2 linked regions of the Rattus norvegicus genome follow. The main gene of each other region encodes a partner of the protein of the gene in region 2 in a complex. Links are inferred from orthologs where the notes say so. Each region holds a gene or a part of one and is shown on either strand. Other genes may lie near its edges.

Evidence for each region. Proteins that work in one complex are often made in the same cells at the same time.
Region 1: the proteins of Aplnr (region 2) and Apln are in contact, whole or in part, in a cryo-EM structure (PDB 8XZG), measured with the Homo sapiens proteins. The link is inferred for Rattus norvegicus from reciprocal best matches to the Homo sapiens genes APLNR and APLN. Residues at the interface, in NP_005152.1 of Homo sapiens: Tyr35, Phe78, Trp85, Tyr88, Thr89, Tyr93, Ser106, Ile109, Phe110, Met113, Pro163, Val164, Arg168, Gln180, Cys181, Tyr182, Met183, Tyr185, Glu194, Glu198, Leu201, Gly202, Ser205, Tyr264, Lys268, Tyr271, Ser275, Cys281, Asp284, Leu285; in NP_059109.3 of Homo sapiens: Arg66, Pro67, Arg68, Leu69, Ser70, His71, Lys72, Gly73, Pro74, Met75, Pro76, Phe77.

Annotation. Positions count from the first base shown.
Region 1 is NC_086039.1:132,088,401-132,092,467, reverse strand, and holds the start of Apln (apelin preproprotein), read left to right. Parts: upstream 1-1,221; 5' UTR 1,222-1,561; coding exon 1,562-1,628; intron 1,629-4,067. UniProt on the Homo sapiens protein: Peptide hormone that functions as endogenous ligand for the G-protein-coupled apelin receptor (APLNR/APJ), that plays a role in cadiovascular homeostasis. Functions as a balanced agonist activating both G(i) protein pathway and beta-arrestin pathway of APLNR.
Region 2 is NC_086021.1:90,622,792-90,626,858, forward strand, and holds the start of Aplnr (apelin receptor), read left to right. Parts: upstream 1-1,263; 5' UTR 1,264-1,486; coding exon 1,487-2,620; 3' UTR 2,621-4,067. UniProt on the Homo sapiens protein: G protein-coupled receptor for peptide hormones apelin (APLN) and apelin receptor early endogenous ligand (APELA/ELA), that plays a role in the regulation of normal cardiovascular function and fluid homeostasis.

The DNA of each region.
Region 1 (4,067 bases), on a different chromosome or scaffold from region 2:
AACACTGTCCAACGTACCTTTTGTGTATGGTTGGATGTACACATGGAGCAAACTGCCTGCCTTGCTTCAAGGTGGAAACACCTTTTGATTTAGTCTTTTAATATGTGTTGAGTGCCACCTATGTGCAGAGAGTGATATTGGGGACTTTAGAGAGATCTGGAAGATTGGGACCATTATGGTCCAATCTTAAGGGGTTCCCAGTCTGGTGCATTTCTTTGGGAGCCCCCAGGCTGTAAAAGGAGCTAAGCCTCTAGAGTAGAAAGGCAAATGGTTCCGGGGCCCTCTTATAGCAAGGAATCCCAGTTGAGTGTAAAAAAAAATTCAGCCGAGTTTGGAAGGCGTTGGGAGGCCCCCCTACAATGGGACAAACTAAGTAAAGGACAGCTCCAAGCAACAAGAAGGGGAACGCGGTAGAACCCTGCAGAATGTCTCCGAACAGTGAAGAGGAACCAGGGGGCAGTATCTCCGGAATGGGCAGAGACAGAACGGTGGCTTTTAGATTGAGTGGGACATCGAGGTTTTGCTGTATGCATAAAGAGCTTAGTCATGGAGCCAGGCATCCAGGTAGAGGGCACACGTTGGGGGACAGCGGGAGAATTAAGGGTGGTAAGCAGTGACCTAAGTTTTATGCACACCCTAGGCAGTCACCCCCAATTCTAATTCAGTTGAAGATGCAGAGGAGAAAGGAGGCGGAGTAGGGGAGGTCTTGAGCAAAGGAGCAAACCCATACTTGGGGATGCAGTGTCAAGGAAAGAAAGAACAAAGTTAGATTCAGAAAAGGAGGGAGGGTGTTGTGGGGAGTCCAAACAGGATCCTTCTCCAAATGCCCAACTATCCTGACAGCTGTTAAGGAAACCCAGGTGAGAAAGGGTTAAGAGTACCCTTCACTGCTCCAAATGTTTTTTGCGTTTGAAATCCTTCAGGTCTCTACGAACCCTCTGGACCCCGGCCAGGCAGGCATTGTCCCGGGAGCAGTTGTGGGTTGTCCGAGCAGCCGCTCAGCCTTTGTTGTGGGGCCACCTCGGGGTTCTCTCTCGCGCCCTGGATAGGGCTGCAGCATGCTTCCCGGGAGGGGGGCGGTGCGGGAGGCTCACTCCCTCTCCCTCTTCCTGCCTCCCCCCGCCCCACCCCCGCCTCCTAATGACCACATGACCAAGTGGGCTCGCGGCCAAACCACAAGCTACAAAATGCAGACCCCGAAGTGAGCAGGGAAGCATTCTCTCCAGCAGCCTGGACCAACGGGTAGTTGGGAGTCGCGGGCAGAGCACAGCTAACCACTTGGAGAGTTTTTGCTGCTGACTGGAGCCACCAAGGCCAGCTTCGCGGCGCTGCCCTGCGGCGGCAGAGGAGGCTGCACCAGAGCAGAGGCAGCGAGCAGGCTTGGGGCCGGTAGCCAGCGGTGCGGCTGGGGCGCTCACTCTCTCCAGCCAGCGGTCCGGGAGCCACGCGAGCTCCGTGCCCGCACGCGCTAGCCCCGGCTCGCGCCTTTCTTTGCGTCAGGGTGCCCGGCCTCTCCGCCCACTCGCCGGCTCATTAGGGCTGCCACGGACCGAGTTGCAGCATGAATCTGAGTTTCTGCGTGCAGGCGCTGCTGCTGCTCTGGCTCTCCTTGACTGCCGTGTGTGGAGGTGAGTGCGTGCCCTCTTGCTCGCTTGGGCTTTCTCCGGGGCTCTCCCGAGGTGCAGCCTGCGCGATCCTCTCTTTCCGCCCCACGCGCGTTCTTCCCGCCTCCGGGGAAACCCGGCGCGAGTCTTGCAGGAGCAGCCACGCGCCAGCCGCACCGGGAGGCCTATTGACAGGGCATCTGGGGCCACGGGGCGACGTGCCATGTAGGCTTTGCTTCTTCGGACAGCGCGGGGGGCTTCGTGATTATCTGGTATATCACCACTTAGCACCCCCATACTCCCGTGTCCCTCGTACTTTAAAGTGTTCCGTGCCACAGACTCACACTTTATGTCCTGCACCCTGCACCCTGTACCCCACGTGGTGGTGGTTCAGGGTTGGGGGAGAGGATGGGAGCATGTCCAGCTCACCTCGTGAATCAGTGGAGGTGGCTGACCTGAGCTGAGTGGGTCAGGACTCCATGTTGAAGGTCTCTGGGTCTTGGAGTTTAGGGGCTGCTGGCCAGTCCAGGGGCTCAAGCTACTGGGGATGATGTGCCAACATGTAGACGTGACACTTGTTGCATAGTCAGGAGCACGCTGCGGGGGCGGGGGCGACCGCAGTGGCTAGTGGATCTCAGCTGTTGCTCCTTCAGCCTCTGTGTAAGCAGAGGTATAGTCCTTAGGCAGATCTGGACTGGACAGGGCCAGGCTGGTATTCTGTACTCCAAGGTCCTGGATGATTTTGTTCCCTGCTCCATTGTGGGACACCTGGCTCCACAACCTCCATCTCTCTGGAGACTTGGCTCTTCTCAATTCTGGCTTCATCCTCCACTCTTGCCCCAGGTATAACTTTGGTCCCCGGTCTCCAGGTACCAAAAAAGAGGAAACACAGGCACTTGATCTCATAACCTCCACGCAGCTCAGGGAAGAGGACTCCCTTCACCTCCACCTGTATTAACCTCCTACCTGGAAATTCTCTGCACCGATAATCTCTTGTCTACTTCAGTCTCCTGGGTCCTTAGTGTCCCAACAGCTCCTGCTCGGTCTGCCTGTCCTCTGTGGGTCAGAGCCTCCTGGGACTGCCAGCTCCCACCTTCAGCTGCCCCAGTCCTGTGATCTGGCTGTCACGGCAGCCTGCCTGGCACAGCCGAAAGGGAAGGCCGAGACCAGGTGGACAGTTGCCAGTGCCAGGGCTGGAGTCACAAGGAGGTGAGAGTGGAGAGAGAGGGAGTGAACAGGACAGCAAGTTTCCTAGAGGAAGGGCCCAGGAACATTCTTAGTTTGACGACCCCCCCCCACCCCCCAGAACAGGAAGATGGCATACTGCCCAGGAGCCTCTGGGGTTCTAGCCAACTCTGCCTGCCTCTCTGTGTAACCACCTCCTTTCTGTGCTTTTGTTCTTTGGCATTGCCCTGAACTCAGTACATTGTCAGGCTTCTCAGGAAAGTACATTGGCCCCGTTGATGCCTCCTGCCTCCAGGTAGTCCAGTGATCTCCGGCAAGACCCTACCTAGCACTGAGGCAGCCCTCCTCCTTAGGAAGAGGAGTAAAGACTTTATCCTCAGAAATTCATGTCAGCTAAGCAATGGCCAGAAGGGAGCAAAAACTATGAATAAAGATACCACATCAGCCTGCCCCTCCACCATGGAGTTTACATAGCCAGTATGATTGGCAAGACAAGACATCCTCATCGTTCAATTTCAAGCAAACAGTCCAAGGTAGTGCCTCTAAAGAAGAAAATGACTGGGTACAGAGAGGGTACCCCAGAGGAGGCTGGACCACCTAAAGCTGCATATTTCTCCAGAGGGTATAAGGGAGACTTTGACTAGCAGATACTCTGTGAACCCTTTGGGGTGCAGCTATAGGGGTATTACTAGTAAAGTCATGAGCCAATTTCAAGGAAGTTAAGCAGGCTGCCAGAATACATTGGGGTTCTGATCTAGATCCTGAAACTTCTTGCTCTGTCTCCTCCTTTTGCTTTAAATCTTTTGCATACTCTAACAATGTAGGTATAAGACATTTTATTAAAGACTAGCATTGGCTACTTCTAAAGCTCCTACTATTTTTCCACCCTTGACCACTCCTGGAACCAAGAACAGCACTTCCTTGGAGGTGGCCACCAGCCAGAGGTTCAGCTATGCACACTCTACTCCTGTGTCCTGGTCGAGAAAGAGGAGCTCTAGAATTCCCTTGTCCTTAGCAAAGACTTGTATGAGCTTTCCACAGCCAGAGTCCTCGAAGTTCCAGACTCAAAAACCATGCTTCCATTTCTCTTCCCACTTTCTCTTCTGTCTTGGAATGTTCTCCCTCCTTCTTTGCCCCTCCCCCAACCACAAAGATTTCTCCCTGCCTCCCGACCTGGGAGACGCTTTGCTCTTCTGAGACTGAGAGTTTCTGGGTCCTCGCCAAGTGTCCCTTGGTCTCTGAGCACCACTTTCTCTCCTCTTCCCTCTTGCCAGCTTC
Region 2 (4,067 bases):
CTTCCCTCACTTTGAGGAGGTGAAACAGAAAGGACACACTTAAAACAAAACAAAACAAAACAAAAAAACCCTTATCTTGAGCATCCTTCCTCTTCCTGCGGAGCCCTGGGGACAAGGCCAGATGGGAGGGTGACTACAACATCTGCTCGGGGCTGCTTCTTTTTCTGCATCCTCCTCTAACTCAACTTCCTGACCCCATGTGGTCTTATGAAACCTCTTGACCCATGGAGATTGGTAAGGACCCGAGTACATGTTCTTGCCACATAGTAATTCACACATTTATTCTCCTTTTCTTCTTCCTTCCCCAATTCGGTTCGGGCTTTTACTTATTCAGTCAACAGCCAAAGATCCCTGAAGGCATGCTAGAACTGTCCCCCCCACCCCCATGCTTAGAGAAGAAGAAAAGTAAACAACCCACCATAACAAAATCTACCCCGTGACCTTTGTCATCAGACACTTAGCATAAGCCTCAGTTTCCCCATAGATTTAATGATGTGCCTAGGAGCCAGTTTGTCTTAGTTTCTTTCCTTTTGTGACTCTGTCAACTAACTTTCTAATACCTCTATCTGCAAACTACAAACTCTGGTCTGCCAGCAGCTTATGAACTGTAAAGACATTTCATTATGCTTTTGTCTGCAAATCACCAAAGTTCTCAGAAACCCTAGGGTTGAAGGCCGATGTGTAGAGAAGAATGAATGAAGTTCAGGGAATCCTAGTGTCTCATCTGGGTGGGGGTGGGGTGGGAGTGCAGGGTCAGCAGGGACCATCCAGATGCTGGGACACCCCTGTGAAATATCACACCCTCTCTGCCTGGGGCTTGTCCTGGATTCAGGTCAAACTGGATTTCAATCTGCATAATTTGTCTCATTTAGAAGGGTTGGGAGAGGGTGAGAACAGGAGGGTGAATACTGAGGAAGGGGATAGATACCCCTCCCCCCCAAAAAAGGCAGGCATGAAGTGGTGGCCAGAGGGAACCAGAGTGAAGAGTCTGGAGTGAAGGCTGGTAGCAGCTAGAGAGAGGAGGTGGGACCAGGAGGAGTTGCAGGCTGGCCAAGCACAGATAATTGTCAGCCCAGCACAGTAGGGGTCAATTTAGTCTACTTACCCAGTGGCAAGAAGGAAAAAGAAGTGGGCTGTGACTTAAAGATCTTAAGACTCACTAGAGAGGGAGGGGTTAGCCTGGGGGTGGGAGGAGAGAGTGTGGAGTTTTTAGGAGGAGACGGAGACTCAGGAGGGTGCAAGGAAGTGTCTTAGCTGAGCTGGGCTAGGACCAGGAAGGTAGAGGTGCAGCCGCCTGAGAAGCACATCCTGCTGGGTCTGAGCTCCCAGAGAGGCTAGTTCTGCATGCCGGGAAGGGCTCTAAGCACCCTCAGACCACTTACTCTGAGGTTTGAGCCAAGCCTCCAGGGTGCTTGCTGAGTTGCTGAGATAACTTTGGAGCTGGTGTCCCTGGGACTCACTGCCCAGCTTCCCTCCATTCACCACCATGGAAGATGATGGTTACAACTACTACGGGGCTGACAACCAGTCTGAATGTGACTACGCAGACTGGACGCCCTCTGGAGCTCTCATCCCTGCCATCTACATTCTGGTTTTCCTTCTAGGCACCACAGGCAATGGCCTGGTGCTCTGGACCGTGTTTTGGAGCAGCCGAGAAAAGAGACGCTCAGCTGACATCTTCATTGCCAGCCTGGCTGTGGCTGACTTGACCTTTGTGGTGACTTTGCCACTGTGGGCCACTTATACCTACCGGGAGTTTGACTGGCCTTTTGGAACCTTCTCTTGCAAGCTCAGCAGCTACCTCATCTTTGTCAACATGTACGCCAGTGTCTTTTGCCTCACCGGCCTCAGCTTTGACCGATACCTGGCCATTGTCAGGCCAGTGGCTAACGCTCGACTAAGGCTGCGAGTCAGCGGGGCCGTGGCCACAGCAGTCTTGTGGGTGCTGGCTGCCCTTCTAGCTGTGCCCGTCATGGTGTTCCGTTCCACTGACATCCCGGAAAACAGCACCAAGACCCAGTGCTACATGGACTACTCTATGGTGGCCACTTCAAACTCAGAGTGGGCCTGGGAGGTGGGCCTTGGGGTGTCCTCCACTGCTGTGGGCTTTGTGGTGCCCTTCATCATCATGCTGACCTGTTACTTCTTCATTGCCCAAACCATCGCTGGCCATTTCCGAAAGGAGCGCATCGAGGGCCTGCGGAAGAGGCGCCGGCTGCTGAGCATCATCGTGGTGCTGGTGGTGACCTTTGCCCTGTGCTGGATGCCTTACCACCTGGTGAAGACTCTCTACATGCTGGGCAATTTGCTGCACTGGCCCTGTGACTTTGACAGCTTCCTCATGAATGTCTTTCCCTATTGCACCTGCATCAGTTACGTCAACAGCTGCCTCAACCCCTTCCTCTATGCCTTCTTTGACCCCCGATTTCGCCGAGCCTGCACCTCCATGCTCTGCTGTGACCAGAGCGGGTGCAAAGGCAGCCCTCACAGCAGCAGTGCAGAGAAATCTGCCAGTTATTCTTCTGGGCACAGCCAGGGCCCCGGCCCCAACATGTGCAAGGGAGGAGAACCGATGCATGAGAAATCTATCCCCTATAGCCAAGAAACCCTTGTGGACTAGGGCTGGGACCAGAGGGAAGCCTGGTGCCTCGGGGCCTGACCCAAACTTCATCCTCACGCTCTGAGAACCAGGTAGCATGGCTTCTCCTGGACTCCGAATTCCCTTCTCTGCTCACCTCCAAGCTCTCTGCCTTGCTCCTCTCTTCTCACGCTTGTGGTTTAGTGGAAAGGGAAGGAGCCTTGCAAACAGCTCAGCTGTTCAGTACTTCTGAGGTTGACCTTGCACAAGTCTCTTAACTTCTTGAAACCTCAGTCACTTTGTTTGTAGTAAATGGGTCAATGTTAACCCTAAAGTGTTGAAGTGTGAGTCCTGACCCAATTTGTTTCTTTCTGTTTGCTCAGCCCTCTGAGCTTTGGTTTTCTCTGTTGCAGAAATTGTTTCTGTCAGCTACTCACTTTCTTCTTTCTTTCTTTCTTTCTTTCTTTCTTTCTTTCTTTCTTTCTTTCTTTCTTTCTTTCTTTCTTTTTTTTTTCCGGAGCTGGGGACCGAACCCAGGGCCTTCCGCTTGCTAGGCAAGCGCTCTACCACTGAGCTAAATCCCCAACCCCAGCTACTCACTTTCTAGCGCTAACTCTTTCTCTTCTAGTGGCTTCCTCCCCCTCAAACCTTCCTGCCTATACTCAGTGCCTTCTCCCCTGCTGGGCTTTTAAGGGTAAAGAACCCTGAAAATTGAAGAGTAACTTATCTTTTGAGTTCTTGTCCTGTTTTCTGAGAGCCAGCAGGTGGCTGTATGTAGGCAAACAATGAATACTCTAGTCCCCACAGCTCCGATCTTTCCAAAAAGTTGGATGAGTTCATTGTTGGTTCAGCCACCAGGGCTAGACTGATCTTTGATTCTTTGGCAGAATCTCTATGATGCTTAGTGAATAATGCATCCTACCAATAACCAAGTATCCTTCCCATCACTTTTTAAAATTGTCTGTGAGAATTGCAAGGCAGCAGGGCTGAGGTGGCTTTGGATGAAGGGGGAGTTGGGAAGGGAAAACAGAGAAAGGGTGAGAGGGGAATCTGTATTTAGTCTGTATGCTGCTTGCCTCCCCTCCCCCAATCCTTGCCTCTCCACCTCCTACAGAACTGTGAACTGTAGAGCAGATCTTTCTCCTGTGTCCTCCCCCACCCTACCTTCTCTATAGGTTTTGGTGCTATTTGGCACTAAGAGTCACTTGGTTAGGTAAGGCTATTTGGTTTTTGTCAATATGGGTATATATAAATATATATGCATGTGTGTGTATGTGTGTGTGTGCGCGACACACACCCAGAAGAGTATCACATAAGCTTCATTGATGAAGGACTGGGGTGAACCCCCACTCACTTTCTCCTGTGCTCCTATAGGTCTCACAGACCACTTGGGGAAGAAGGACATATGGAGGGAGTGTAGAATAGATATGGGTCCACCCCCACTGGATTTGGGGAACTCCGACGGCTGGTCCGTATTTAGGAAAGAAGT